Cricetulus griseus: one gene and its partner. The protein of the gene in region 2 purifies or fractionates together with the protein of the main gene of each other region. This does not show direct contact. Links are inferred from orthologs where the notes say so. Each region holds a gene or a part of one and is shown on either strand. Other genes may lie near its edges. The genes, in order: Tlr4 and Ticam1.

The links.
Region 1: the proteins of Ticam1 (region 2) and Tlr4 purify together in Homo sapiens (affinity purification with western blotting; 3 studies listed by BioGRID). This does not show direct contact. The link is inferred for Cricetulus griseus from reciprocal best matches to the Homo sapiens genes TICAM1 and TLR4.

Annotation. Positions count from the first base shown.
Region 1 is NC_048595.1:79,136,893-79,152,767, forward strand, and holds the start of Tlr4 (toll-like receptor 4 precursor), read right to left. Parts: upstream 10,221-15,875; 5' UTR 9,972-10,220; coding exon 9,882-9,971; intron 5,149-9,881; coding exon 4,982-5,148; intron 1,523-4,981; coding exon 1-1,522.
Region 2 is NC_048598.1:97,276,738-97,292,660, reverse strand, and holds Ticam1 (TIR domain-containing adapter molecule 1), read right to left. Parts: upstream 10,723-15,923; 5' UTR 10,603-10,722; intron 6,654-10,602; 5' UTR 6,530-6,653; coding exon 4,253-6,529; 3' UTR 3,445-4,252; downstream 1-3,444. Other genes in the region: Plin3 (perilipin-3), read right to left, coding at 13,380-13,730, 14,476-14,601, 15,215-15,414.

The DNA of each region.
Region 1 (15,875 bases), on a different chromosome or scaffold from region 2:
GTCCTTGACCCACTGCAGGAAGTTCTGATGTTCACATATACAGGCAAAGGGATTATTAGTAAGATTTAAGAAGGCTAGACTCTTTGGGAAATGTTGCATTATTCCTTTGGAGGTCTCTATGTGATTGAAACTGCAATCAAGAGTCTTGAGGGAATGCAGCTGTTTATAATGGAATAGATCCAAAAGCAGTAGATTGTTGTGACTCATATTTAGTAACTCAAGTCTATGGAGAGTGTCAAACACCCCCCAAGATACTTGTTGTAACTGGCATTTAGAAATATCCAGGAATGTCAAGTTTGTAGTATTTGTAAAGACATTTGAAAGGATGTTGTCTTTGAAAGAATTGCCAGCCATTTTTAAGGTGTTGAGACTGGTCAAGCCAAAAAATATGCCATTGAAATCAATTTTGGTGTTAGTATAAGAGATGTCAAGATAGAGCAGTTTTTCAAGGGGTAAGAACATTGAAAATTCAGTGGCCTTTTTTAAAGTGGAATGCTGAAAATCCAAGTATTCCAGCTGTTCTAAACCCATGAAGTTTTCACTCATGCTGATGACACCATTGAAGCTGAGGTCTAAGTGTTTCAGGCTTCTTGCTCCCAAATCAGTGTAAGAACAGCAACCCCTAAAGCTCATACCATTTCCACTGAGATCTAGAAATGTAAGGCTTGGCAGATTCACTTCTGGAAAACTGGTAGCCCCTTTGTTGGTAATAAAAATCAACCTTTTAAGAAAGGGGAGTTCCAGAGGTGGAAATTGCTTAAGTTCACATCTAATGACTGCTAAGGTTTGCCATTTGAAATATTTAGGAATGTCTTCTAGGCGCTTTAGATACACATTTGCCAGAGACATTGCAGAAACATTTGCCAAGCAATCAAAATCAGTGATATCTTCTGAAAACTCATTTGCATATGTGAACCGGAACTCCTCAATGGTCACCTTACACAGTCCTTCTATGACATAGCGGTCAAACCTTTCTACATTCCTTTCATTTTTAAATTCTCCCAAGATCAGCCGATGCACTTGTAAACCATCCAGGTTATGAATGCAAGTTTTCATTACATTTGTGCTATTAAAATTACTTCTTAGAGTCAGTTCATGGAGCCTAATTCCTTGAAAGGCTCCAGGTTGAATAAAGTCAATTGGGTTCAAAGACAGCTCTAAAGAAAGATTGAGCTGGGGATTTTCACGTAAAGTCTGTAAATCTGTGTAGTAAATTGTTTGGATATAGTTATTAGAAAGGTCTAAGTGTTCTAGGTTGGTCAGATTGGAAAAATATTCAGGAAGCTTGAAGGAATGTATAAGATTGTGAGCCACATTGAGTTTCTTTAAAGTTACAAGGTGTCCAATAGGTAGGCTGTCCAGAGAAGCCAGTTTTATCTCCACAGCCACCAGATTCTGTAAATTTGCTAGTCCAGAAAAAGTTCCCTTGGATAAATTCTGGATAGGGTTTCCTGTCAGTATCAAGGTTGTGAGCTGGTGTAGACCCTGATATGCCTTGTCTTCAATTGTCTCAATTTCACACCTATGGGGAAAAGAGATACCAATTATGTAATTTTGCTTAATAAAGCACTATAATATCATAACAATTCCTGCAATGCCACAATAAAAAGAGATGTGATATACCATGTTATTGTGAAGAGACAAACATACAAAGCCAAGCATGTGACACTGGAGTCAGTAGGTAAGAAGTTCTGCAGATTCAGCCTATTTTCATACCGGCTACTGTAATACATTCTGAAAGGGCAGCAAATCCATCAGAAGTAAATCAATTCAAGATCAATAATTGGGGTGCATAATGACTGTTTGTTTGACAGAGTATGTAATAACCTTAGATTAAGTTAAGGTGTTTCTTTCCACACAGCTGTGATTGTACATCTAATGGGTACAGACTATATGGATGGTTGTTAGTTGTAAGTCATGATAAATGACTAGTGAAAGTCAATTTCAAAGACATAAATAATTACACGTAAGTGTCAAGGATGGAATTAATATTTACAAAAAGTTACTTATATATGACAGCTGGTATTTTAAATCTGTCATTATCACAGGTAAATGTCAATTGGTAGCATGAGTAAGTTTTGTGGAAGAAGTGGAAATTTGGCTATGAATGTTCACATCACAGGAATTGACCCTCTTCAGAGGACAAAAGCAGACTTTTCTGAGAATATTTAAACAGATTTTTTTTTAGCAAGCATTGATGTTGTCTATATTAGTCAGGATTCTCTACAGCAGTGGTTCTCCACCTCTCTAATGACACTTTAATACAGTTCCTCATGCCTTGGTCACCCCCCAACCATAAAATTATTTTTGTTGCTACTACATAACTCTAAGTTTGCTACTGTTTTGAATCATAATGTAAATATTTTTAGAGATAGAGGTTTGTCAAAGGTGTTATCACCCACAGCTTGAGAACCACTGCTCCAGAGGAACAGCATATAGAGCATGACTGTCTCCAAAGTGAGATGATTAGCCTGGCTGATGTGGACAGGTTGGGTAGTCAAACAGTGGATATTTAAACAGAATTTTTAATGATAAGTAGGAATAAAAGTAAAGCAATCAGCAGGTCTAAAAGGCAATGTAAGAATCAGGCATGCCAAAGGAGGATCCATAATACATAGTCTCTGTGGCTGTAGGGGGAAATGGGAACTAAGGAAGGCTAACATGAAGATGTGAAGAGAGGGGGTCTGCAGATAAAGTAGAGACTCACAAACCAAATGAAATATTATGAATTTTATTCCAAGATAATGTAAGATATGCTATATACAGCAAGGAGAGAGACAAGCTCATAATTGTACTGTAGATCAATGTTCAATTATATAGGACATTGGTGAGAAATCACATCCCCTTCTTATTGATAAGAAATTATTCTTTCTACTTCTTTTCTATCCCCCAGTCTAACTTGGCTCACTTCAAATCTCCCTGGAAAAACTAAAAAATAAAATCTAAGGAAATGATTATAACAGCATTTTTAAACTTATAAAACTCACTAAATAATTTTACTACATTCAATGCATAATAACATTTAACCATGCAGGAAGTTTTTTGCTTTTTTTTTTTATTAGTTCAAGTTAGGGAACAAGCTTGTTTCACATGTAAGTCCCTTCTCCCTCTCCCTCCCCTCACCCCTCCCACACCCCCAACCTACCCCCCACCCCATGCACCCACCACTCCCCAGACAGGGTAGGGCCCTCAACGGGGGTCATGCAGGAAGTTTTATCATTTCCATTTAATATGAGTGATAACTGAGACTCAGGTAAAAGTTACATGCATCAGGTCACACAGCTATAAATGTTGGAAGAAACATGGGCTCCATTCTTCCTCATGCTACAGAGGTGTTTCCCTCCTCCTTTGGAATACTCTGTTAATGCCCAAGTAAAGACTATAATGCATAAAGTATTTGATAAATTTTTGGCAGTAATGACTTCTCGCAGAAGACCTTTAATACCATAATCTTAATCTTTATCAAGGCATTTTGGAATAAAAACATGTGAAGCATTTCTGTAGTTTTACAAACATTGAAAAAAAAAAAAAACAATGAAGGCCCTTTATCTACTTCAAATTTCAAGGATGCCCCTCTCATTACAATTCACGGATGTAAAGCTGAAGCCTCCCTCCTGACAAATAGCTTTCGGCAAGAAGGTGCTATAGAGGCTGCTTGGAGAGAGAAGTCATTACTGGTATCATCTAGCTAATTACCTAGAACTATAACATGAACTTGCCAGGCAACTTGTGTCTAGTGTTGAAATGTTAGCATAACTATGGGGTGGGAGGTATGGTTGTTATTAATGTGGTTTAACTAAATTAGCATGGCACCAGACTCTTGTCTAAATAATGATATTTATACCCATTAACAAATGTCACTGCTCTTATAGTAAACAGTGGAGAATACAGATTTTTCTTAGATGTTCTAGATGGAAGGAGCATAAGATGGTTCTGTGCTCACCTCTGAACAGACAATTATAATACCTGCTTTGAGGATCAGAAAGCATTGAGGAAGAGGGAGCAAAAAGAAGATGAGAGCCAGATGACAGGGAGAAGACAGGTTATCTTTCGGCATGACACAGCCATTGCAAACCTGATCTCACAGCAACTGTGGTTACCTGCATTGGACCTCCACAAGACTAAACCTACCAATTAAAAGTCATGGATCAGCGAGGAGATCATGGAATCCTTTGCTCCCTATTAAACTTTAGAATCTAGGGGAGAGACAGTCATTGGTTTTAGCTGCTCATCAAATGGTTGAGCTCACTAGGCTCCAATAGCTAGTTCTAAATCTATGGTTACACAGAGAACATGGTTAAAATTGGTAGGTCACAAAATAAATCTCAGCAACACTTTCTTGCCAATAGCAAATGTTTTTCTTGAATTTTGGCATCTTTCTCCTAATTTAGTGTCTTTCTTATTCTCTACACTCTGTTTCACTTTCACTATTTCAGGCATCTCCTTCACCTACTGATGTCACCATCCTCTCCCAACACATGATAAGACAGCTCCTCTTCCAATAGTTGCCTTTATTTGTACATAGTTTGTCAGTCACTGTTATAAACCACAGCTTCAGAGTTGATTAACATGTGTTGTAACAGTGCTATGTGTATAAAATCAGAGACAAAATTTTAACTTATTAACTCATTGAAGAACATATTAATCCTACTTAATAAGTAGGACTATGAGGTATGTATCTATAAATGCTTGTTCTGTAGCTTAGGGAACAACATATAGTATGTGGCCCACAAACATCTAATGGAATAGTTTAAGCTAAAATAAACCTAGAACTGTCCTTAAGTGATCTTATCTAGTGGTGCATCATACTGAAACCGAGTGATAAAAGTAGCTTGTTGGAGGATATACAGCAAGTAATACATTGTAATGAATGAATCAATGCAAGAAGTTGAGTTAGATAAGATAAATTTTCTTGGCCAAGAATGAAATGATAGAAAAATAACTATCTCACCTTGTGCAGCATTTAAAACTCATTTATTACCTGGATAAATCCAGCAACTTGAGTTCTGGAAAATTAAAGAAGCTATGGCTTCCTAAGGTCTTCAGGGGGTTGAAGCTCAGATCTAAATGCTTGACTGAAGAAGGGATGTTGTCAGGGATTTTGTTGAGATTCCGATCCATGCATTGGTAGCTAGTGTTAGAATCCACCTGTAAAGATCACATAACAAAGGTCTGTTTCCAACTGCATGTCTTCCCACTCCTCCCCAAAGACAAATAATAGGGTGGCAAAACTTGTATACAAGCATGCCCTCCAACCTTCTCTTGTACACCCATCTACCCATTCATTCATTCTGTTTTGTTTTGTTTGAAACAGGGCCTCATTTATCCCAGTCTGGACTTAAATTTACTTTACAGCCATAGTTGACGTTGAACTCCTGATCTACCTGCCCACACCACACCAGTGTTGATATTATAAGAGTAAGACACCACATCTATCATCACCCATTCATTATCTACCACTTCATGTTTATAAAAATCTCTTCTTCTATACAATAGGAAAAAAGTATCCCCTGAATTCTCACAGTGTTAGCCTTTTACTACAAAAAAAAAAAACATTATTAAATGAGGAACAAGAGAATCAGGAATTAAAGGGCTATCAATTCTTAAATCCTCGGTTTCATAACAGATGTTCTGTGCCACGGGGTGCAAAGAAACTTTTTTTTAACCATTTTATTTATTTATTCTTGAGATTATAATTATATCATTTCCCTTCCTCCCTTGAAGTCCTCCCTCACCCCTTTCTTTGATCTCTTTCAAATCCATTTCCTCTTTTTATTCATTAGTTTTTGTTACATGCATATATATATATATATATATATATATATATATATATATATATACCATAATTACATAAGTACAGCCTGATCAATTTGTATAATATTACATATATATCTTTTCAGGGATGACCATTTCATATTTGGTAACCAATTAGTATTCTCTTCCCCAGCAAGATTCTTTCCCATACAACAGACCATTACAGAAAACCAAAACCAATCAAAATGCATAATTCTGCATCCCAGTTCCAAGGGATACATTAACAATAAAACACTTGCATCTAAAGCTCAGAGGTCATTGTAAAACGGGGCAATGAAAGAATATAATATAATATAATATAATATCCAAGGGAACAAGTTTATTGTGATATTGTGTCTCCTAATAATGTCAGAAACTACACTCATAAAGACAGACTTTGATAATCCCTCATGGAAGGCCTCACCCTCCCTGAGGAGCAGAAAGTGGATGGGATAGGGAGTTGCTGTGGGGAAGGGGAGGAGGGGAGGGAGATAGAACTGTGATTGACATGTAACAAGATTGTTTCTAATTTAAATTTTAAAAAGGAAAAAAAGAAGCCTCATTAACATGACTTCCTAAACATGACAACAAGACATGCTACCATGGATAGAGTAAAAAGCTCAGGAGTCCTCAACTCTCTACAAACTAATGAATGTTGAGAATGAGACAATGTTTGTTTTATAATACCTTCAGCTAATTTAATTAGTTTTATGTAAAATACACATATTTTGTAAATACATAGTTTTATGTAAAATTACTATCATTCTAATTACATATCCTAATTATATACAGACACATGGAGAGTACCAATGAAGACATCCAGATATTTTTTAGATACCACCTATTTTAGACAATTACATTTTCTTTCTTGGCTTATTGACTTTAGCAACTTGGTGTAGGAATGAGAGGAAGTCTTAGAGTACATGGAATCCATTGATCAAGGCCAAGTGTTTTGTGCTGTTATAGTCCCCACTTAGTTTTATCTATTTTCTCATATTTACTGTAAACCCTATTCCATAACCTTCCAATTAATTTCATAATTACATGATTTCTTCCAGAAAATTCTTTGTTTAACCCAGTGAGTTTTGCTTTCTCTTATTTAAAAGAAATAGAATTCTCAAAGGATTAAATGAGATCAGATCTTATCTCAAAGCTTGCTATAATTAAAGTGATGAATATTAATGTTAATTATCATTGGCTATTATTAATCCCTTGCTGTATATCAACAATTTACTTACATGTTATGTATTTTATGTTAATCTTCAAAACATCTTTTAAAGATGGAAAAATGAGAAGATGGGGTAATGCACATAAAGGATTTATCCATGTATGTTCACATTTGTCTGCTTACACGATACTTACCATAGTATCCTTAAAGAGAGTGCTTCTAATAGAATAAGGTGTCAGGAAGAAATTCTTCACTTGCCCTCTTTTATTTCCTTCATAGGTTTCAATCACAGAGCAACTTTGTGTTGCTTATATAATTATTTTCCAAATGTCGTTCATTTGATGAACTGGATTATGAGCTTTGATGCTCTGATGATTTTGTTTGGTACATTGTCTCCAAGGCTCAGAAAGTTGCAAGGTGACCTGTCAATGCCCATTAGCTATTTGTTGCATGAGTGAATGATAGAAAATTCTATACCTGGTGAACAGAGGTCCATGTAAACCAAATGGTAGGCTTTTTCTGCTAAGGGCCATGAGCAGTACAAAAATAAATGCTGTACAATTCCAGTTGTCATCGAACTCAACATCAGTTAGAAGAGAAGGAAAGGGACTAAAACCTACAAAGCAAGCCTGGTTCACAGGTAATAGAGACTGATTGTAGACCCAGAACATGGAAGGTGAGCAGTATCTGACATGTGGAAAAGGGAAGAAATGTAAATCATAAGAAGAAAAGAACATAAGCAAGTAAAGGGTAGGAACAAATTCAGATGAATTGGCTAGCAACAGGCAAGGGAGGAGAGCCTTAAGTTATGGGTAGCTACAACCTGAACACAAGAGCATCAGACATTGTCCAGCAGTCATTCTTTCATTTGCATACAAACTAAAGACCTACTATGATCTAGACACTGGTGGCATATTGATAAACCCAGCAGAAAAGGAAGGATAACTAATTAAAAACAGACAAAAATATGATATGATATGATCAATGAAAACACACACAAAGAGGCCAAAGGCAGATATCTCCATCTGGGAATCAAGAAAAAACACCCTGGGGAGACCCTTTTACAGAGATCTACATAAAGTGAAAGTGAAACATTAAATCCTGAAATCAAAGTCCTACATTCTGTCTGTGGCTATATGTCACAGACAACTGTTGAACATGAACCATGTGTGTAGTATAAATCAAATTTTGTAGTAAACATAAAATATTGCTGACTTTCTAATATTCTGTAGCAAAAATGGAACATAAACTATCTTCTTAATAGTTGGACTATATTTGATTATATAATATATATCACTAAAAATAACTTCACTCATTTTTTTTCAGTTTGACCACCAGGAACATTTTAAACTATATAAGCAGATCCCAAAATTTTATCATAAGACAGCTCTGATCTAGGGGAGGGGTTGTGTGGGTAGGACAAGCAGTGAAACTACTCTGTAGGAAAAACAGCCTTGGAGGCACTAAAGAGTTATTAAAAATGGTAAAGGAGTAATTTGATAAATCCAGTCCTCTGGCCCGGTGAAAACAAATAGAGATGAAAGTGTGGTTACAGAAAGGACAGCAAATTAGGGAACCAGTCATAATCCCTGGAGACAAGGCCCATGGAACTGAGACATGAGCTTATGGAAGAAACAGGCTGACTATGGGGGTTTCCAGAGTACAGTATATACCACAGGATTTTTTCTCAGTATGAAACTGATTGGAAACTCTATCTCTGTCAGCATAACTAAGGAATCAGAAGACAAGATACCGAGATAGCAAGGAGTTAGTCTTTGTTATGCTATAATATTTTTTCCAGGTCAACACCGTGACTCCAACTTGTAATACCTGTCTTGAGCTTCTGAGCCTGCCTCGCCCTAAATTATTTCCCTGTTTGTTCAGCTCTATTGTGAGCTTCTGAGATAATTGTGTGGTCTGTGCAGTGAGAAAATAAGAATTAGTCATGAATCATATTACTCACTAGTCATTGTTTCACCAAGAAGGGAATTACTGCCTTAGCTGATGTTTTACATTGTTCTCTGCCTCTTTCTGTTGTCTCTGTCTATCTCATTCTCTGTCTCTCTGTCTTTATCTTCCTCCCGTTTGTCTTTCCCCTTCCCTCCCTCCCATTTCATTATTTTCTAAAATTAGTGGTAGAATTTAAAATTCTCAGAAAATTCTTTCATTTGGAAAAAAATTACAGTTATTAACATGTGTGTGTGTGCGCGTGCGTGCGTGCGTGCGTGCGTGCGTGCGTGCGTGCGTGTGTGTGTGTGTGTGTGTGTGTGTGTGTGTGTGTCCACTTTCATGCATGCACACAACTGTCAGGGCAGACACTTGGAACTCAGAGAATGAAGTAGATTCTCTGCTTCCACCATGTGGGGCTTGAAGATTGACTCAGGTAGTCAGGCTTGTCAGCAACTGACTGAACCTGCTGATCGACCACTCCATCATACACAGATGCTACTTAAGAGACAGAAATGACAGCCACCTTTACCTGAGTAGGAAAGGAAAGGAATGACTTCTGAAAGCTGAGTGTCCACAGTACCAACAGAAAGGCCTGCTATTACTAGCCTTCTCCAATCCCCCTGTGAGCACTGTAATTCTTTTACAGTGTGAAAACTGGCCTCAGAAAGGTTCAGTAACTTCTTGGCTGTCACTCAGCCAAGTCACAGAAACAATATCCTTAGTTTTACTAATTTCAAGTCTTTAATAATCATGGCTCGGAAGTCTAAACAGAACAAGACACTGACTGGCTGCCTGTTGCTGCCCTGCTAACACAGAGTCTCTTTGTCCTCACAGCTTCTCAAGTTTTTGGTTAGTTTAACTCCTGTGTGCAAAATAAACAAATCAGAACACACAGCAGGAAGCTCCGACATAGGGAGAGTTTTGAGAAACAAGGGAGGCTAACAGGAAAGGAGCTGGTCGAGACACATACCTCCACACAGGGATCCAAGCTTTCAGGTCTCAGGGAGGAGAGGAACAATGCCATCATCAGTGTCCCAGCCAGGCAGAAAGAAGGCATCATCCTGGCATTTTCTGCAACCAGCCGAGGCCGTGAGAAAGCATGATGAACTAACTGTAGCCGTTGGCAAGGCAGAGTCCCTGGGGCACCGGCCTCTTCTCTCTGGGCGGGTGCCCCTCTGAAAGAACTATATTAAAAAATGTTCTGGGCTAAGGGTGAGAGGAAGTGAGAGTGGCAACCTTAGCATTCTCACTTTTTTTTTTTTTTCTTTCTTTCTCTAGAATGTATCTACCCTATCTCAGGAGGCTAGATAGAAGACTAAGGAAAGAACAGGAAGAAGGCGTTTGCCGACCAGCCTGTGGAGGAACAGCAAGAGGAAGCTGGCTTTCATCCCAGGAAGTCATCTGACCTCTGGGCTTGGGGAACGCAGAAAGTAACCAGATACTCATGAAGCCAGTATATGTGCCTGGAGCAACGTCCACATTCCTGTTTTGTTTTCACTAGTGGTCAAGCTAGACTTCTAGGTATCTGACGGCACAGTACTGCACTGGGTGTTACAAACTACAGAAACTTATTTTCTCACAATTCTGAAGGGTGGAAGCCAGAAAAATGATGTTGTGGGGTGTGTCTGTGTCCTGATCTTTTCTTGGTTGGGTATATGTGTACGCACCTGTGTATGTGTACCTGCTTATTCATGGGGGGGATGAATACTTCATGTGTGTGTACTCTCTGTGTACACTTGCAAGTGTGTGTGTGTGTGTGTGTGTGTGTGTGTGTGTGTGTGTACCAGAGTTCACTGTTGGATGACTTCCTTGTTTGTCTCCATTCTTCTGCTACTATTAATTATTAATTATAACTATTATTATTACTGTTAGAGAAAGGAACAGACACAGTTTATTACAAAGGGGAATGCATTCCCAAGAATAAGAGTTGGCTAGTGAGCTGAGGGTAAAACTCAGAAGACCCCACTGCAATTTTGGAGCCAGGGTCTCTAATTGACTGCTCATTCATTGACTAGACTGAGTGGCCAGTGAGTTCCTGAGATCTAGTCTTCTCTGCCCCTACCTCAGTGCAGGAGTTAGAGGTACATGCAAAGCATCCAGTTTTTATGAGGGTGCTAGCAGTCTGCAGGTCTTCTGGCACATAAAACACTTTACTGACATGTCTCCCCAGGCCCTGCTTCTTTTTGTTTTGTTTTGTTTTTCGAGGCAGGGTTTCTCTGTGTAGCTTTGGAGCCTATCCTGGCACTCGCTCTAGAGACCAGGCTGGCCTCTAACTCACAGAGATCCACCTGTCTCTGCTTCCTGAGTGCTGGGATTAAAGGTGTGTGCCACCAATGCCCGGCCCCCTGCTTCTTTTTTTTTTGTGGAAAGATATAAAACATGATAGATGGAACATTGGATGTACAACTAGAAGAACAAGTCACAGTATATTGAGCCATGAGAACACCCAGACCGCTACCCACCCAACCCCAAATCCTCAGCTTCTGAAAAGAGGATGGTGACCACAGGGGTCCTGGAGGTACCCAGAGTCTGGAAAGCTGCAGAGTCCACGAGCATAGCACACTGTGATACTGGTCACATGGACAGCCCAACTGTTTTCCCAAGCACTGCTGCCAAGGATGACTCAGGATGCTGAGTATGGAATCAAGATGGTAGCAATGGCTGGAGCCATACTACTGGAGAGAGGTTCACACGGAGGATCTGCTGGGCCCACTGTAGAACCTCATCTTCTGAGAATTTTCTGTGCTCCATTATAGTCTGGGACTTTCGTGGTTTTGCTCTAGGCCGCAGCCTTGCCTTAGAAGACTGGAGCACAAACTGTGCTCTCTTCTTAGGAGGAAGACCCTTTACCTCCTCAGCCTTCTTCCTCTTCTTCCCCACAGACTCAGAGCCACTTTTCAGGCTTGTCCTTCCAGTTCTACTCTGAACAGATCCTTTTGGCCTTCCCTTGTACTTGGTCTGAGCTGCTTTGGCCTTGGCTTGTCCTTGACCACCTTGGCTTTAGCCTTGTCCCTTACTACAGTGGCCTTGGATTTGGCTCCTGTTGCCCTGGGCTTGGTCTTTGTTGTCTTGGCCCTGACCCTTACTGACTTGTTCTGGGTTCGAGTTAGGCTGGCGTGGGCATGAGCAGCTTTGGTCAGTGTTCGAGATGCCTTGGCCCGCACTGTTTTGGTGCCCAAGGCAGAGTACCCTTTCACACGTAGGCCACTGCTCCGGGGCCCAGTGCCTTGTTGATCAGCCCCAGGGCCTTTCCTACTCAGGCATTTGATGCCTTTGCTTGTTATTTTCTGGGATGCTTTGGACTGTGGGTTCCCCGAACCTTTCTCAGTTTCAGGGTAGAGTTTGCAAGTGACAGCAGCAGTGATTGTGCCCTGTTCTTAATACCCAAGCAAGGAATCTTGAGTGGAACCAGTGCTTCAAGGACCACAGACAGTCGTATGTCAGGGTAGACACCTGGGTAGAGGTGGGCAGGGAAGCCTACTGTTGTACCACTGGTGTGGCTGGCATTTGATTGCTTCAGAGAGCTCAGCAGCAAGTTAGTGGTAGCATGCTTGGCGAGGGCCGGTGTGGACCCCTTAGTCAGCCTGCCAAACAGTGGCACGGGAGCAGTGTGGCTGGATTGCAGGTTGCAACACAGCACTTTGGGGAGCCCTGGATGGAAGAGATGTGGCAGATGGGTTGGTGTTACGAGCTTGTAGCTTTGTCTGGCTGGGGGGCGGTGGCTGTGCATGAACTAAAGCCATAGACATCACCACTTCACAGAATGGTCCCCTGGAAGCCATCATCTCGCAGGCCCTGTAGGAAGGCCACAAGCTGGGCTTCTGTGGCACTGAGATCCTGGCTCCTAGGATTAAACACAAGCAGTGGCTCTTTCAGGGCTTTCTTCCCTGCTGTGGAAATTCGTGACCAGGAGTGTACAGCTTTCTCCTCCACATGGTGCACTACCATGCTTATGGCATCAGGCACTGCAGATCTGCCTTGGTATCCACAAACCAGCCCGCCGCCGGGACCCAGGACGCACCTCTGTGCTGCCTCCACCACTCCAACATGGCCACCTGCTGCATGCCGCAAGTGCAGTTTTAAAAGTAATATTGCTTATACTGTACTAAGGCAGAACCATAGAACATTATTTTAATTATCTCATTAAATCGAAGTCACAGGATGAGGCAATGGGAGATGAAGACTTCAACATATGAATGTCAGAGAACAGTACATAATTCTACATGTGACACTGCCGGTGAAGAAATGCCCACATAGGAAGCTAATTGAAAGGTTCTGGGGAAACACCATGAGTAGAGCAGAAGGGATCAGAATTACATATCCTCAGGTCAGGTCTATGGCTCATGACTTATGATTAGGTGACAATTCTCAAATGACTTTGTTTTCCAAATCTTACATTCTGACCTGTAAAACTGAAAACATTTTCTCTCTTTTTTTTTTTCTCTTTCTTTCTCCCTATAGAAACTCATATTTAGAATGCTTATGCTTAGAAAGCTATGTGATTTCTCCTGGATCATTTTTGGTCCTAGAAACTTCTGATAAGATAAATATTGAAGGAGACTCCTGTACAGTAGGGACTACCTCCTGGACCCTGGATTAAGCACAAAGCCCACCCAAGCATCTGTTTCCACAGAAATCCTTTATTAAGCAGGGAAGAAAACTTAAAGTGGCTGCTTTCTGAGTCAGGCAGATAACACCAGTAAATGACTTTGAGGGTTACATTTTAAGAGGAGAAGATCTGTGTTAGAATGGTCTATGTGGTAGTGGTAAAGGAGATATGGGTTGAGGAAGAAGGGGAAGGGGACAAAGGAAAGGAGAAAAGAGTACTTGTCCTGGAGGAACAAAGGGCTGCCTCCAGATAGAGAAGAACCAGACAGACATGAGATAGAGAATAACCAGATAGATATGACACATAGGCAAATGGTGGTTTATAAAGGTAAAGGGGAAACCCCGTGTTAGGATGAGGTATTTAATTTTAGTTGAGTATGTTAATTAGTTGAACCAGAGGGGGCTTCTGATTGCTGGACTTTGTTAGTCAGCCTCCGGAAGAGGAAATGACCAAATAAGGATATGGACCTTGGTGGCTAGCTTTAGGAACACTTTTTAGCAAGACAGATAGAATGGGGAAGAAGGACGAGGCCTGCAGAGCCACATGCTCTGTTGAGTGCGCTACTGTCCCTTCAAATATACCAACCTCCATTGTATTTACCACTTTGAGACTTTGGCAGAACTGACCTACAGAAGGAATCTTCTCATTCCTCAAATTCCTTTTTCCAACCTGTAAATCCCAGTCCTGCTACAAAATGATGTTCTGTCATCACTCCTAGGGACAGAGTGTATCCCTTCATTGTTCTGATTAAAAGGTCAATCAGCAGTTTCTGAAGAAAAGAAAAAGATACATGATGCAGGCAGAATACACAGACACCAAATCAGCATTTGCTACTATGTAAAATAAAGACACAAGGCTATCAATTATTGCTCTACTAAAGGAATGGGGTTTGCTTCCCAGCACTCATATGGTAACTCATAAGCATCTGTATCTCCAGTTCTAGGGAACTTGCTGCCTTCTGGCCATACATGATCATTATATCTGATACACATAAAAATATGTAGGTCAACACTTGTACACACAAAAAGTAAATAAATCATAGAATAAATACAAGATAATTGCATTTCTCTTGCATGATTGAATTAAATCAACCACATCATAGATTCTTATCAGATCCCATAAAAGATAACTATAGCAATTATCAAAAATGTATAAAATAGGGGTAATCATACTTACTCAAAGTTTTGTTGTAAAGCTCTCAAAGCAATGTCTTCAAAAAGGCAAGTTTACTTTAAGTTTCTGATTAATAAAACTAGGTTAAATGTCAGTGGACCAGTGTCTTAGTTGACACCCCCAAAATATGCCATAAGTGCCTCAAATCAAGCTTATCTAAAACTAAACTGCAGAAGAGCAGACAACAGTGGACCAGATACTCCTTTCTAGAGACTCCCTGGGGCTTTTTGGCCACCAGTCTACCTACATGTTCAGCAACAGACTTTATCCCAAGGGAATAAAGTACAAAGTCATAGTAGCGCATGCAAGTCCTGTTTATTCTCCACATGCAGACAGTCATGTACACACACACACACACACACACACACACACACACACACACAGAGAGAGAGAGAGAGAGAGAGAGAGAGAGAGAGAGAGAGTTAGAGAGAGAGAGAAAGGGGGCATATGACACACAGAGTCAATCAATTTAAAGAAAAAATTAATGTCTATCTTTTCAAAGTGAATCATCTCCTACTCTATTAATCTCAACCACACATTTAGAAAATTATGCCAATTTATGATTCCCTATGGGAGGCCTCACCTTCTTTGAGGAGTGGATGGGGTCTGGGATAGGGAGATGGTGGAGGGAGTGGGAGGAGGGAAGGGAGAGTGAACTGGGACTGGTATGTAAAATAAGATTTTTTAATTTAAATAAAAAGAAATAATAATAATAATAAAAGGAAACCCATAAAATGTCAAAGGACTATTTTAACTTATATAATGCTATACAATGAAGATAGTGGAATAGAAAAAGAACTGTTAAATATAATAATAAAAAAATCTTACACAATTGAAAAAGAAATTGTGTCAAACTCTAGAAACTTCAAATATAAACTAATTCTAAAATCTAATTGTTCATTTTCATCCATCATTGACTATGTCCCTTAGTCTAGGGTAGTGTAATACACTGTAAATCTGTCTTTAAAAACCCAGATTCACATATTCAGAAGACTCAACTTTCCCACTATTTCTCCTTTAGTTCAAGTTTTCCCTGTAAAAACACAGGAAGTAGAATATGTCCTAACTGTCTTAGTAATATTCCTTGGACCTCAATCCTTCCTTGACACCCTTTATACACAAACATGTCACCTATGAGGAACAAACAAAGCATGTTAATTAATGACAGATATAACTAGACCC
Region 2 (15,923 bases):
CCCATGCTCTAACCACAGAGCCATCTGTCCCTCTAGTCCAGAGAGCTCAGATTTGAGCCAAATCCTGAGGGAGCCATGGAGGAATTTAGGGAGAGAGCTTTCCAGGCATAGTCACGAATGTCTTGCTTAGAGGACAGTGACTGGAAGAGAAAGTGCTGGTGAATAAAGAGGATGAGGAGGGTCTGTACCCTGCACAAAGTCACAGCAACCTTCAGCAGTGAAACCCCTGCCAGTTGCATGGTGGGGGAGGGGAGGAAAAGCATCACCCAGGGCTACATCAAAGTCCTTTCTGGAATAGAACCTGTAGGAACCCTTCCAGAAAGTTCTACCCGGTGTGGACAGAAGCCAGGAGGGCCTTGGCAGGTGGCACAACTTCCTCCTTTCAGTTCCCTGAAGAGGGCTCACAAGGCTGGTTGGAACCAGGTCATGATAACCTTGGACTCAGCCTAGCAGTGTGCTCCAGACCCAGGAAGTGGGGTTGCCAGATACTTCCAGAACATGCTGCTCCCTGGCTCAGCCCAGCTATCTTCAAACCTAAGACCTCTTTATTGCCTGTGAGGGACATACACCCAAAGCCGCCGCCGAGCCTCACCACCTGCGTTTGAGCCCCAGGACCCAATGGAGGAGAGGACTGACCCCTGTAAATCATCCCCCGACCTCCACACTCATGCTCACACGAAAGAAATGTGGAAACACTGTCACACATTCTGCTCGGTCAGACCCCAGCCACACACAATGTCGGGTGACACTGTTGCAAGACACGACTCTCTGGGCTTGGAGAAAACATTTGTAAAACAAACAAAAGTCCCTTAGCATCCAGCATGAATCCCAGGATGCAGAGCAGATGGTTTTCTGAGTTCAAGGCCAGTCTGGTCTGCAGGACAACCAGGACTACTAAGTGAGGCCCATCCTGCCCTATCCATCCCAACAATAAAAGTCAGAAAGGAGTGTGAACAGAGCCAGCTTTCTGAATTCCCAGCTGGCTAGGGACACACCCTGCTGAGACTGCCATCAGACTGAACCCTGGAGGTCAGAAAATGTCCAGCCATGGTTCTAACCCCTCAGACTTCCTTCTTGCAGGAACTTCCTTTAATTGCTCCACCCACCAGCTCTTGCCCCATCACAGCCTTAGGGCTGTCCATACAATGGCTGAGTAAATGCACACACATGGCCTTCCCATGCCCAAGAACCCATCCCAGGTCTGCACACAGCAGGCACTAAATAATGACTCATTAAAAGAATTCATGGGGGGGACCGGAGATATGGCTCAGGGTTAAGAACACTGACTGTTCTTCCAGAGGTTCTGAGTTCAATTCCCAGCAACCACATGGTGGATCACAACCATCTATAATGTGATCTGGTGCCCTCTTCTGGCACGCACTGTATACATGATAAATAAATAAATACATCTTTAAAAAAAAAAAAAAGAATTCATGGGGCCGGGCATTGTTGGCGCACGCCTTTAATCCCAGCACTCGGGAGGCAGAGGCAGGTGGATCTCTGTGAGTTCGAGACCAGCCTGGTCTACAAGAGCTAGTTCCAGGACAGCCTCCAAAGCCACAGAGAAACCCTGTCTCTAAAAACAAAAAAATAAAAGAATTTATGGGGCTGGAGAGATGGCTCAGAGTTTAACAGCCCCGACTGCTCTTCCAGAGGTCCTGAGTTCAATTCCCAGCAACCACATGGTGGCTCACAATCATCCGTTATGAGATCTGGTGCCCTCTTCTGGTGTGCAGATATATATGGAAGCAGAATGTTGTATACATAATCAATAAAATCTTTTTAAAAAAATTCATGTAGGGTTAGAGCTGTGGCTCACAGGCAAAGCACTTGCCTAGCACCACAAGTAAATTTAAAAAGGAAATGTGTAAAAAACATTTAGGCTTTTGTCTTGAGATGGGTCCCCCCACAGCCCAGGCTGGCCTCAAACTTAAGTAACCAAGGTTGGCCTTCAATTCTTGATATCTTTTCAACCTCCCAAATGCCAGGGTGATTAAATTACATTTCTTGACTTAATGTGGGTATGTGCAAGTATATGGAGGTCAGTTTGCAAGAGTCGGCTCTCCCCATCCACCATATGGGTGGGTCCTGGCGAGGGAACTCGGGTCATGATCCATGACAAGCACCTTTACCAGCTGAGCCATCTCTTGCCCCCCCCAATCCAGTAGAAGTGAATTGACAGGCAACTGTCTGCCCTTCTCTACCCTGTCCTCTGTGTACCCTCCCCCCAGTCTTCTCACTATACCCCTAATGTGCTGGGCTCTGTCCTGCCCTGAGGCCTTTGATTGAGCTGTGTTGTCCACATGCACCTCAGGACAGGCTGTCACCTCCCTGCTTATTTCAAGTCCCTTCAAGTTTTCCCAGGTCCCCTTGCTTGCTTTACTGATGCTTCCTTTGACACCTCACCCTGGAACTCCACAGCCAAGAACCTAGCACCTTCCCAACCACCCGTCACCCCACACACCATGGTTCAGAGGATTTCATTTACATACCCCACCCCCAGAATCTCAGAACTGTGATGCTGGGGTTTCACTTCAGGTCTGCCTTGCACAGACGGGTCTGACTAGGTCTGACTCAGAGACTAAAACAGAAAGCAGGAGTGACTCATCTCCTCCTGCATGTAAGACAGGGCCTTGGCTGTTTGTGGGATGAGCCCACAGTTGCTTGTCCTTGGAAGTCTGGCTTTCTTACATTAAGTTCCCCTGAATTCTAACTCAAGTGATGCCAGGGCCACAGTTTTCCCCAGCTGTTAAATGAATGAATTCACATTTCACAGAGGCTTGTTTGGAGGGTTGAGATGTCTGGGCACATTAAAAGCTCTTGGATTTTCAAGACAGGATTTCTCTGTGTAGCCCTGGCTGTCCTAGAACTCTATTTTTAAGACCAGGCTGGCCTTGAACTCAGAGATCTGCCTGCTTCTGCCTCCCAAGTTCTGGGACTAAAGGTGTGCGCCACCGACACCTGGTTCATCCAGGGCTATGTAGAGAGAACCTGTCTCAAACGAAACACTGGTCAAAAGAGCACTGGTCCAGAGGTCCCGAGTCCGATTCCCAAGCAGCCACACTGTCCATTACCAGTAGTTCTCAACCTTCCTAACACTGATCCTTTAATACAATTCCTCATGTTGTGGTGGCCCTCAACCATAGAAATATTTTTGTTGGCTGGTCATCGGTGGCACACACCTTTAATCCCTGCACTCAGGAAGCAGAGGCAGGCGGATCTCTGTGAGTTTGAGGCCAGCCTGGTCTACAGAACGAGTGCCAGGACAGGCTCCAAAGCTACACAGAGAAACCCTGTCTTCAAAAACAAACAAACAAACAAAAAAGCTAAATAAATGTGAGGAGATGGCAGAGGGTCGGAGATGCAAAGTCCCACAGCCTTGGCTGAACCACACCACTTGCCCACACTCCAAAGAAAACCCTGCTGTAGCAAAATCTGCCAATATAGATGTTAAAAAAATAATAAACCTTTTAATGTGAGAATGGGTTTGACATGTCTATCCCAGTGACCCACATGGAGGAGGAGGACCGGCTCAAACAGGTTGTCTTACAATCGCCACACATTCCTGGCACACATACACTACATAAATAAATTCACAAAAGCAATCAACACCACCAGTAACTCCCCAGTGTTCTCCTTTCCTAACACTGCAAGGTTTCCTGGGATATGGCCGCCCACAAAATAAACTACGTTTCCCAGAGTCCCTTGCAGCAGAAGGCCACGTGGTCCACGCTGTCCAATGGGATGAGAATGCATCCACAGATTCCGGTTCCTGTCATTCAGGGAGCCGGATGGAGCTCCTATTCTATTCCAGTCCTGGTGGAGCTGAGTCTCTTCTCTAGGAGGTGGTGGGTGAGGGCGCCGGCTCGTGACTCAGCTTATAAACCCTCAGCTATTATAAACCCTCTCCATTGCCCCAGCACCACATCCTCCCCAGAGACTGTACGTGCCACGGTGGATGAGGGTCACGTGGCCGCTGGGGGCACCTTGGAGGAGCCTATGGCTCCTTAGCGGTCTGTCCACCTAGAGGGTGCGGGTTGGGGTCCCAGAGTCTTGTCCAATGTTCAATAGGGTTCTGGATGTTTTTCCAGGCCCTGCGTTTACAGGCGAGGTCTTCCTGGCCTCTGGGGTCCAATTCATGGCCGCTGTGTAGGCCCAGGCAAGGTTCCCCTCTCCCACTGTCGCTTTGGTGACTCAGGTGAAGTCCAGCTTGGCCACTCTAGCAGTCTAGGTTGGGTTCAGCCTGGTCATGTTAGGAATCTAAGTGGGCTCCAACACGATCACTCTCAAGCAGGGGTCCCCCCTGGTCACTCGGAGGGCCCAAGCAGGGGTCCTCACACTCAGTCTTGTCATTGGTCGACTGGGTCCCTGTCTGGCCCCACATGTGGTTGTTGACCCCCAACTGAACCATCTGGGCATGATGAATAATGAGAGGTCCTGGAGTCTGGGTGGCTGCAGGGGAGGCCGATGGGAAGGGTGGGGACTGCGGGGAAGAGACTGGAGGCTGCGAGAAAGACGGAGGCTGCTGCGGGAAAGACGGAGGCTGCTGGGGGAAAGACGGAGGCTGCTGGGGGAAAGAGACTGGAGGCTGCGGGAAAGACGGAGGCTGCTGGGGGAAAGAGACTGGAGGCTGCGGGAAATAGGGGGAAACCGGGGTGCCACCCTGCCATAGTTGTGAAGGTGTTAGCTGTGGACATCCCAGCCAACTGGGGAAGGGTGTAGGGGCCCCCAGTGACAAGTCCTTCCCGAAGGCCATCTGCAGGCTGTCCATCTGTGCTTGCCAGGCGCTGTAGCTGTGGACATAGGTTGAGTAGGCAGCAGACATGGCAGCCACCCTTTGCCGCTCGGCCTCCAGCTGTGTGCTCTGCTCCTTGAGGGCTCTGGTCTCCTGCTCTTTCTTCCAACGTATCCGGTATGCCTGGAGCTTCTGTGATTTGAAGGTGTTTGCCACCTTCCTGGCAAAGATAGGGGAGTGTTCATCCAGCCACACAAGGCTGTGGAGCAAGCTGGTCGTGTTGGGGCTGAGCTGGGCCTGGGAGCACTCCAGTGGGAGGAGGGGGATCACACAGTCTTGCCTTCCTGATTTCGTGAGGCTGTTCATAAGGGCGTGGTTGACTTGGTGCAGGCTCAGACGACAATCAAAGTTGGTGGTCAGAAGCAGGATCGTATACCCAGAGTGGTCGATAGCATCTTGGAGACAATGCAGCTCACCACGCCCAGGCACCTGAAATTCCTCACAGAAGGTGGCCCCATCGGGCACCCCAAGGGTCTCTAGCTTCTCCCGGATACGTAGGGCCACATGCTCGTCAGCCCTGGCATGGATAACCACAAAGTTATAGAATTTCTGCTCAGATGTTTCCAAGTGGTCCAGAATGGGGGGCATGGAGGCTGGGGGGACAGGACAGCTGCTGGGGAAGGAAGCAGAGGGCAGAGGGGGAGGAGGCAGTGTAGTAGAGAACTGGGGGGACTGTAGCTGGGCAGCGGGGCTAGATGTGGTGTTCTGCAGACTGTCATCTCCTACAGAGCCCGGGGGTGACATCTGATCGGTGATAGACGGCTGCTTTCCAATGCCTTCCGTGGTGGGTGGCAGGAGAGACTGGGAGCCTACAGACGCCTCTGTGCATTCAACCGGGCAGTGGACACTCGTGTCTGGAGCAGCCAGAGAGTCAGGGTGGATGGCTGAAGCCACCTCAGGGGACACCTCTGGGACCCCAGTTCTGTGTAGTGACCCCAAGGGGACGGGGACGCTGGTGTCCACTGACAGGGGCCAGCTCACTTCTTCAGGTTCTTGGCAGCCTGCAGGGACAAGCTGAGGCTCAGGGGAAGCTGGGGGTGTGTCACAGAGCTTGCTGGGCCCATGGGTTCCACGGTGTGGACAGAGGAAGGGCATAGTGGGTGACTGGCTGATCTCCAGGTGGCTAGCCAGTGAAGCGATGCTGCTGGTAGAGTGTAGAGAATGTCCCTGGCTCCAGTCTGATGTGTCAATGGGTCGAGGCTGGCTTCTAGTTACTGAAGGGGATGCTGAAGAAGGAGGCAGGCAACCCTGATCAGAATGGAGTGGCTGGAAGCCACAGTGGTCCCCCATGATGTCTGAACTACACCGATCCCGGGCCTCCTTCTGGAGTTGGCCCAGCAAGTGGTTACCCTGAGAGGCGAGGTCATGGAGGGCCACCTGGTAAGCCATGTCCCTTGTGGAAGCAGGACAAAGGTTCTCTTCAGCCAGCAGGTGGTACAGGCGAGCCACGGACCAGGACAAATCTGGAGGCTCCTCAGGGCCTTCTGTGCTGTCCACACCTATCCACTGGCAGGCTATCAGCTGGGCCACTGTGTCTGCCTTCAAGGACTCCAAAGAGGTCCTGGCCTCAGTGTTCTGGCCCAGAACCAAGAGCACCATGGCGTGAAGAAGCTTGGACTCCTGGCTGCCTGGATTCAGACTCCCCAGCTTGTCTTTCAGATGGACCAGCCTGTCCCTTTCCACTGCTCTTAGAAGGTTTAAGGCACCATGGAGTGATGGGTCTGGGTTGGCCATGGATGAGGGAGGATGAAGCCTGGAGCCACAGAGGCTGGGACAGGTGGAGACATGTTCTGCAACAGCAGCCTCCTGCCCAGAGTGTCCCCTGCTGCAGGAGATCCCAGAGGGTGGTGCAGCAGACCTGCGGAATTAGGAGTTTATCGTGACTTTCCAAACAAGACAGCAGAGGCAGGGGGGTCTCTGAGCTCCAGGGCTACATAGGGAGATGGGTCAGCAGGAGGGGTGGGGACAGAGGGAAGAGCACTGGCCAAGCATTTGCCGCAGAGTTCCATGTCCCACGCCCAGTGCCACAAGAACCAGGTGTGGTGAGTGAGCGGACGAGTGGGGGTGAGTGGATGTGTGGACTGGTATGAAGTTCTCAGTGACTTACAGGACACTCACAGTGATCCTCAGCTGGGACGGTCACCATCGTCACTCACCCCAGCTCTCTGTTCACAGCTGAGAAGACCTCAGAGTCGGTCAGTCCTCGTGTCCCCGACACCCATCCCCCCTCTATAGCCAGGCTGGGATGGGACTCACTCCTGTCCCACCCCAGGGCCACCTGCTGGCCTCTCAGGCAGGGACAGGTGTGGCTGTTGTGACCAGACAGCCCTGGCATGGAGTGGTGAAGGCTAGGGACACTTCTTAGAACCCTTCCACAATGCCCCATAGAGAATGTCCCAGCCATGTACGTGTCCGGGATGCTCAAAAGGGACCCTGGTCTAGACCTGAAGTCAACACGTCAGTCAGTTAACCCACAGACTTTGCAAACAAATGACCAAAAAGCCTATAAAGACCGGACTTGAAGCAGCAGAGGTAGGCTGGGCAGAGGTCAAGGGAGCCAGGTAGGCAGAGGGAGGGGCCTAATGACCATTGGCAGAGCCAGAGGCACAGGAGCATGACAGGTGGGGGCGGTGACGGCAAATGGCAGCCCAGGAAAATGGAAAAAGCTGGAAAGAGCAAAAAAGGCAGGGCCACCACCCTCTCCATGACTGCTGGGAAATGGAGGCAGTTAGGTGTGAAAGTGTAGACAGAGGCAGTGACAGTGTGACCAAAAGCAACAGAGCTAAGAAGACCTGTCAGACAGAGAAAGGGGGTCAGCTGCCCATCGTGGCTGCAGACCAGACGAAGCCTGAAGAAGGGTCAAGAGCTACAAGAATTAAGGCTTACTTTGGCAGAGCTGAACAGTGTGTCCTAAGGACTCAGAGACAACAGTTGGAAGGGACATGAAAATGGAGAAGCCTGCAGGGCGTTGGTGGCACATGCCTTTAATCCCAGCACTCGGGAGGCAGAGGCAGGTGGATCTCTGTGAGTTCGAGGTCAAAAAACCAAAAACCAAAAAAAGAAAAAAAGAAAAAAGAAAATGGAGAAGCCTGAGAGCACTGCAAGGGGAGGGCACAGCTCATACAAAGACCCTGGGGCAGAGGACACAGCAATGCAAAGGTCCTGGGGCAGGGGCCAAAGCCCTACCCCTAAATCCCTGTCCTGACCCCCCACCCCACCAGAAATCTCCCACCCTCATCTAGGATGTCCACCTCTGTCCTCAGGTCCCTCCTTCACACCCGTGCAGTCTCTTCATTTGCTTACCATTTCTCACTCAGGAGTGTCTGGGCTCTGCCGTGGGAGACGCTACACACACACACACACACACACACACACACACACACACACACACACACGGGCATCAGGCAGAGCAACAGGATGTGATTAAAAAAAAAAATCACCTAAGATCATTTCGAGAAATAAAAGTGCCATGGAGGAAATGAACCTGAGACAGAACCTGGGGTGGAGGATGCCCTAGGGAGGGCATGACTGAGCTGCACCCCTGAAGGAGATGAGCTAGTCCAGAGAGGCCCTTTGGAGAGCACTGTGAGTACAAAGGTCCTGGGGTACGGAGTGCAGCCTGGCATGCTGGAGAGGTGAGTAGGCAAGAACAGAGGGAGGAGGGGCCCGGGTGGCTTTGACCCTGAGGGAGATGGGAGCCCTGGAGGGCTATGGGTGGAGATCCTAGGGAGGAAGCTCCCTATGTGTGCTGTGGGGAGGATGAGTCCAGGGGAGCTCCAGGCAGAGGAGAGTGTCACAGAGTTAACCAGAACTTGTCCCTCTCTCTCCCCCTGTGCATGCTATGTTGTCACTTACATGCACTGTCCCACCTAAGGGCCTCTGCATGGATGTCCCTCTAGGAGCACATAACCTCAGGCAGTCAGTCCCTTCTCTAGCAGGGCAGCTCTCAACTCCTCATGACCTCCTACTGAATTTTACTTCATGTCCCACAACAGACAGGTATCTGGGACCCAGCAGGAGCAGGGCTCAGGTACAACTGTATAGTTCCTAGGATCCAGAGTGCCTGACACATAGTGGGTACATAATGCCGACTGTGGGCTGCCAAGATAGCTCAGTGGGTAAGGATGCTTGATGCTGCCAATCTGGACTGAACTTTGAGTTCAGTCCCTGGACCCATTAGTAGAAGACAGAAAAAGTTAAAATAAAATGCATAAATGAACAAACTGCTGGGCCTGTTTAATCCCAGCTCTCAGGAGGCAGAAGCAGGCAGATCTCTGTGAGTTTGAAGCCAGCCTGGTCAACAGAGCGAGCTCCAGCACAGCCAGTGCTACACAGAGAAACCCTGACTCAACAACAGTAATAAATAAAATAAGCATTCACTGGAGAGAAAAAATTAACACATGAACAGGGTGGTACCTGGTATACAATAAGTGCTTAAAAAGTGCTTACTGAGGCCTGGGAATGCACTGAGTGGATAGAGTACCTGTCTGTCATACAGGAGGCCCGGATTTCAACTCCCAGTGCCAGGAAGAAAGAGGCAGGGGCAGAGAAAGAGGGAGACAGAGAGAAACACAGAGAGGAGAGAGAAATGTTTATTGACACTGCTAAGCAAAGAGCAGGCAAAAATATAGCAGGGTGCATGCACAGTATTCGAGTTTTATTTGCTTGTTTTCTGTTGTTGTTGAGACAGGATCTCATAGACCATATAGGCATTGTACTATGTAGCCCAGGATAACCTTGAACTTCTGATCCTCCTGCCTTTACTACTTAAGGGTGTCTGTTTCCTCTTATCCAAACTATCTGAAAAGCTAAGGCAGGAGGATTTTTCTCTCTCTCCTCTCTCTTTCTCCCCCTCTTTTGTTTTTGGAGACAGGATTTCTCTATGTAGCCCTGGCTGTCCTGGAACTCGCTCTGAAGCCCAGGCTGGCCTCAAACTCACAGAGATCCACCTGCCTCTGCCTCCCAAGTGCTGGGATTAAAAGCATGGGCCAGCACCACCAAGCTTGGGAGAGTTTCTTGAAACCAAGAGATCAGGGACAGCCTAAGTGAGTTCCAGGCCAGCCTGGTCTACATCTCCAGATACAAATAAATAACATAAATGACATCAAAAAATAGAAGTAATTATTTTTAGGAGAGGGGTGAAGGCACTCAGTGGGTGGAGCTCTCGTCTAGCATGCATGAGACCCTGGGCTCTATCCCTAGCATGAACTATGACACACGGATGGATGGATGGATGGATGGGTGAATGGGGCTTCCTTTCTTTCTTCCCTGGCTTTCCTGACAGACCTGACAATCTCTTGTGGCACAGGGTACCCTTCCCAGTCTCTGGTGAGTGTCAGCTCTGGGACTCAGAGACTGAGTGCTTCCAGGGAACCTGGATGGTTCCAGGATTGACCCTGCAGGTACCCAGGGGCAGCTGGCTACAGAAGTTTCACCAGGCCAGTCCCAACACCTGGAAGACTGCTGCCTGTGTTAGTCTGGGGATAGAGGTTTTGACAGGAGACATTGTGGTAGAGAAAGTGGCTCTGATCAGGAAATAGAGACCAGGAGAGGGATTGGGGGTGGGGAGGCTGAGAGTTGGCTGTTGTGGCTGGAGGAGACCTGTGTATTGGAAGATCTAGGAATTTGGGGGGTCACTGAGGTCTGAGCAAGCACCCAGGATCCTAGGACTGGGTTGGGGTCAGAAAATGGGCTGCGGATCTGCTTGAAGCAGCAGAACGGGCTGCAGGTGGAGGTCCAGCGTGCCACCCAGGCTGTCCAGGGCCCTTCTGGCCCTGCACCCGCTGTCCCCTCTGCCTTCCTCCTACCTGGCCGTGGGGTCCTGGGCTGGTGGATCTCAGGGTCCCTGGTGGCCGCTGGAGAGGGAGGAGGGAGAAGAGGAGGGAACGGTTCCACCCCTTCCGTGTGGGGAGGAGCAGATGAAGTCAGCTGTGTCCCGCCCCAGAGGGGAAAGTCCCCAGGGCGCCCCAGCCCTGGCCCTGCCCTCCGCCCAGCGCCATAGTGCCACGTAGAACAAGTCAGGGCTCTCATTGTGTGGGGCCAAAGCAGGGGAAGAAGAAACCCCCACCCCCAGAGACCGAGGAGCTGGTAGCCACAGACCTCAATTAGTGACATACTCTGTGGGGATTTGCAATGCACCATGTGGCTAAGTTCACAGGCTGGTGACTTATGCCTCTGGGTCCAGCATACTGGAAGCTGTAACAGGCCCTAAGCTACAAGCTAGCCTGACCTACACAGGGAGACTTCCATCTCAAAAATAAATTAACAGGCCAGGTGGCAGTGACAAACACCTTTCGTCCCAGCACTCGGGAGGCAGAATCAGGTGGACCTCTGTGAGTTCGAGGCCAGCCTGGTCTACAGAGAAGAGTGAATTCCAGATCAGCCAAGGCTACATACGCAGAGAAACCCTGTCTCAAAAAAGAAAACAAAACAAAAAAAACCCGAATAAATAATAAGTAATAAACAAGAGTGCTGGAGGCTACAAGGAAAAAATCCATCTGTTTTTTTTTTTTTTTTTTTTTTTTGAGACCGGGTTTCTCTGTGGCTTTGGAGCCTATCCTGGAACTCGCTCTGTAGACCAGGCTGGTCTCGAACTCATAGAGATCCTCCTGCCTCTGCCTCTGCTGGGCACCAATGCCTGGCTGTGAGAATATTTTTTCACGTCACATCTTATTTAATATTTTTTCGTGTGTGTGTGTGTGTGTGTGTGTGTGTGTGTGTGTGTGTGTGTAGGTCAAAGAACAGCAAGTTCCTTCACCTGCTGAGCCATCATAAGGACACAAAATAAAAAAAAAATTGAGGTTTCTGGGTATTTAGTATTTTAAGAAACAACCTTTGTGGCCAGGCATTGGTGGCACATGCCTTTAATCCCAGCACTCGGGAGGCAGAGGCAGGTGGATCTCTGTGAGTTCGAGGCCAGCCTGGTCTACAGAACGGCTCCAAAGCTACCCAGAGAAACCCTATCTCAAAAAAAAAAAAGAAAAAGAAAGAAAGAAAGAAACCACCTTTGTATGTACATGATGCTATCCTACAACTTTGGGCTATCATCCTGACTCAGCCTCCCAGATGGTTAGATTACAGGCATGTTTTAAAACTGATGAAACTAAATTGTGAAAACAGAAAAACAGAAGCGATTTATAGGGGACACTGATTGGGAAGTGGTTTGTGTAAATGAGCCATCCACCCCAATTGGGAGATTCTAGGTGGGAGAGGGGGAGCTGCACCCTGACCACACCCCCAGCCCCTCACTGGGGAATTCTAGGTGGGGCTCCATCCTTGACCCCCACCCCCAAGCCCTCAGTGGGGGATTCTAGGCAAGAGTATCTGGCTCATGTCACTGACCATGATGTCTCCACAGCTCTGGATATTAGAGTTGGTATTAGAATGGCCCGTGTTTTCCTTATGTATAAGACAAGTTTGTGGAAGTCAGGGATTGGCATCAGGTATCTTTTTTGGTCACACTCAAGCACATTACCATTGGACCATCTCTCCTGCTCCCGAGTTTTGCTATTTTGAGCCAGGGTCTCCTGTAGCCCAGGCCAGCTTCAAACTAACTTCGTAGCCAAGGGTGAACTTGAACTCCTAATCCTCTGGTCTCTAGGTCAAGGAGATCAGACATGGACGTGCTTGGCAGGTGGTGTTCAGTCTGCTGCACTGACCTCCTCTTCACCTCACAGAATGTGCAGGGAAGGGAAATGGGCAGCAGGTCCCTCCTGGTCCTCTGCCAGGGTGGATCCATGGCTGGGAAAGGAACAAACACACCATCTGCCTGGTCTCTGATGCATGTAAAATTTATTAAAGCAATACTGAACCCCAGGGTTTGAGGAACACTGGACACTCAGCCTTCAGCCACTTTCTCATCTGAAATGATTTTCACATCCCTGCTGTCCACCCTGTCATGGAGGCGGGCTTCTTGGATCAGGTATCAGGGTCTGTTAGGAAAGCGCTTGCTATTGTAGGTCATGACATAGTAAAGGGACCAGAATGCAGTATCACCATGACCTGATGTCTGTCAAGACAAGGTCTTACCTAGCTTAGGCTATAACTGAGTTTGCTATGCAGCATCTGGCTTTGAATTCTTTCTTTCTTTCTTTCTTTCTTTCTTTCTTTCTTTCTTTCTTTCTTTCTTTTTTTTTCCTGAGGCAGGGTTTCTCTTTGTAGTTTTGGAGTCTGTACTGGAGCTAGCTCTTGTAGACCAGGCTGATCTTGAACTCAAGAGATCTGCCTGCCTCTGCCTCCTGAGTGCTGGGATTAAAGGCATGCACCACCACTGCCCAGCTGGCTTTGAATTCTAGATCTTCCAGTTTCTACTGTCACAGTGCTGGCATAGGATGACAGGCATGTGCCATCACTACTAGTTATCCTGATTTTTTTTTTTTTAGGGAAAAAATTTTTCTAGAACATTCTAGAAAAAATTTTCCAGTAACATTCTAGAATTTTTTTTTTTTTTTTTTTTTTTTTTTTTTGCTTTAAAAGACTGATGGGAAGAGGTTAAATACTTCTTCAGACTCAGGGTAGGTGAGGACTTGGTGTGCAACAGGACTTTTGGGAAAAGCTGACTGGAGCCAGCTGCGGGCCCTGACCCCTATCCCTGCTTCTCCTCTTCCAGGGGTTTCTCAGTGATTCCAGGAGCAAAGGGGCCCACCAGCCATGTGACTGGAGTGTTCTGGGCCACGTACTCCACAGTGTGGTCGAGGGCCTCCCGGGCTCTGGCTATGCGCTCTCGAGTCTGGGCAAGAACACCTGCTGTGAGGTCCTGGAAGGAATGGATGCCAGAGAAGGTGGCCTGAAGATCCTCAACCTGGCTGCGGGCCTGCTGGGCCTGCTCCCTGATGTGGCCAGGCAGGCCCTGGATGCTGGCCCCCAGGGCCACACACGTGCTTTGCAGCTGCTGGGTGATGTCCCTCAACATGCTGAGTGCCCGGGCCTCCACCTGCTGGAAGGAGAGAGTGGGGATGGGGTGAGGGCCAGCAGGGGGACAGCCCAGCATCAGGGACTCCCCTCAGGCTCCTATAACCAGGGAGACACTGGAAGATGCCTAGAATCTAGACTCATCGTCGAACACAAAAGCTACTAGGAGGGGACAGAAGCCAAACAGAAAAAAATTAAAAAGCAGCTGGGCAGTGATTGATTCACGCCTTTAATCCCAGGCAGGCGGATCTCTCTGAGTTCGAGGCCAACCTGGTCTACAGAGCCAATTCCAGGACAGGCTCCAAAGCAATACAGAGAAACCCTGTCTCAAAAAAGAAAAAAAGAAAAAAACAACAAAAATACAAACCCCAAATCAAACCACAATGTGGACACTAAGAGACCAGATGTGATGGCCATACAGCTGTGATCTCAAAACAAAACCAAACAACCCTCCATAGCAATTTTAAAAATACAAAAATTAAAAACCAAAGCCAAAAATGCCAGGTGGTGGTGGTCCACGCCTTTAATCTCAGCACTTGGGAGGCAGAGGCAGGTGGATCTCTCTGAGTTCCAGACCAACCTGGGCTAGAGAGAGAGTTCCAGGACAGCCACTGCTACATAGTGAGGTCCTTGAGAAACCAAGATAGAAAAAAAGCCAAAACAGAATCATGTAAAGCCTGGATTCTGTGGTCACCCCTGGGACAGGAAGCACAGAGTGCACAGAGCAGGGTATGCAGACGGACACAGGGATCCCGGTGCCCAGCAGGTACCTCTGGTTTAGCTGCATCCTTTTCTGCATCTTGGGGCTTCTTCTGGTTCCAGCTGAGCCACATGTGGTGTAGCTTCTCCTGCCCCTCCCCCAGCCTCTGGTCCATGCCCTGTTTCACCGATTCCATCTGCGGTCCAGAGAAAAGGGTGGGGGTTGTGTCAAAGGGAGCACTCCTCTGTCCCAGATGTTGGGCTCCAGCCAGTTGGGGACAACAGGAACGGGGATATTCTTCATTTACATTTTTTTTTCTTTTCTAGCTAGCCTGGAATTCACTATGTAGACCAGGCTGGCCTCTGCCTGGATGAAAGGCTCTGCCAAGGAGTCCCACACCTTTGCTTCTGCCCTTGGGCAATGCTGAGGATGGACCCTGCTCCACCAGCAACCACCGTCAGTCAGTTTCACAGGGAATATGACAGAAGAGTGCCTTAGCTGATCTCGGGACCCAGCGACCAGCATCCCTAGCTGCCAGGAAAGTAGAGAAAGCCTGTGCCCTGCCCCACACACCCTGGAACCGTCTAGATAATGACACTGGGTTCACTATCAAAGCCTGCAACTCCTCTCACAAGGTTGTACAATGAATGTGTCTGGTTCAGCTGCACAGATTGTGTACTTTGCTACACAGCCTGAGCTGACTCATACACTATGGTGTATGAAGCCAGCCCAGGGGAACTAGCCCAGCCCACCTGCTATGAGGTAAGATAGGAAGGTGGCCCCAGCCTTGGTCACACCCCGACTCTCACCAGGCTGAGTGCATGCGTGAGCTGCTGCAGTGCCTCATGGGCATTCTGCCTAGCGCTGCGCAGCTTGCCCAGTGAATGTTCATAGGCGTGGTTGCGCAGCCGTTCTGACAGCGAGCCCAGCCGGACGAAGTAGTTCCTTTCTTGTCTCTGCTGCTGCAGTGAGGCCAGGTCTGAGCCCTCTGGGGATGTGGCAATCAGGGCTGTGGGCACAGAGGGGGAGAATGCTCAAGCTCACACTGCCTGGTGCATGCCCTGTGTCGAGGGTTGAGAACCCGAGGCAGGAGGCTTGCAGGTCTCTGGCAACCCAAGCTACAGGAGCCCCCATCTCAGAATAAAAAGCAAAACAAAGTTCATTCCCAGGACTTGGCCAGCAAGATGGCTGAGCAGGCCAAGATGCGTGCTGCCAAGCCTGAGAAACCAAGTTCAATCCGTGGAAGTTGTGCTCTAGACACTTGAAATACACTTAGCACAGGCATACTTCATATGATTAAAGTGAAATATATTTTTAAAAAATTGAAAAGCACAAGCTTTTAAGCCCAGCACCAGGGAGGAGTATTGTGGAATAGAATATTTGTTTAGCTATGTAGAAATGTGTTGCATTTGTTTGTGTTGAAGAAAATTGTTTAACTATGTAAAGATGTGCTGCTGTTTCACCTTGCCTGCCTAAGGCACCTGACTGGTGTAATACAAAGCTGAAAAGCCAACTGCT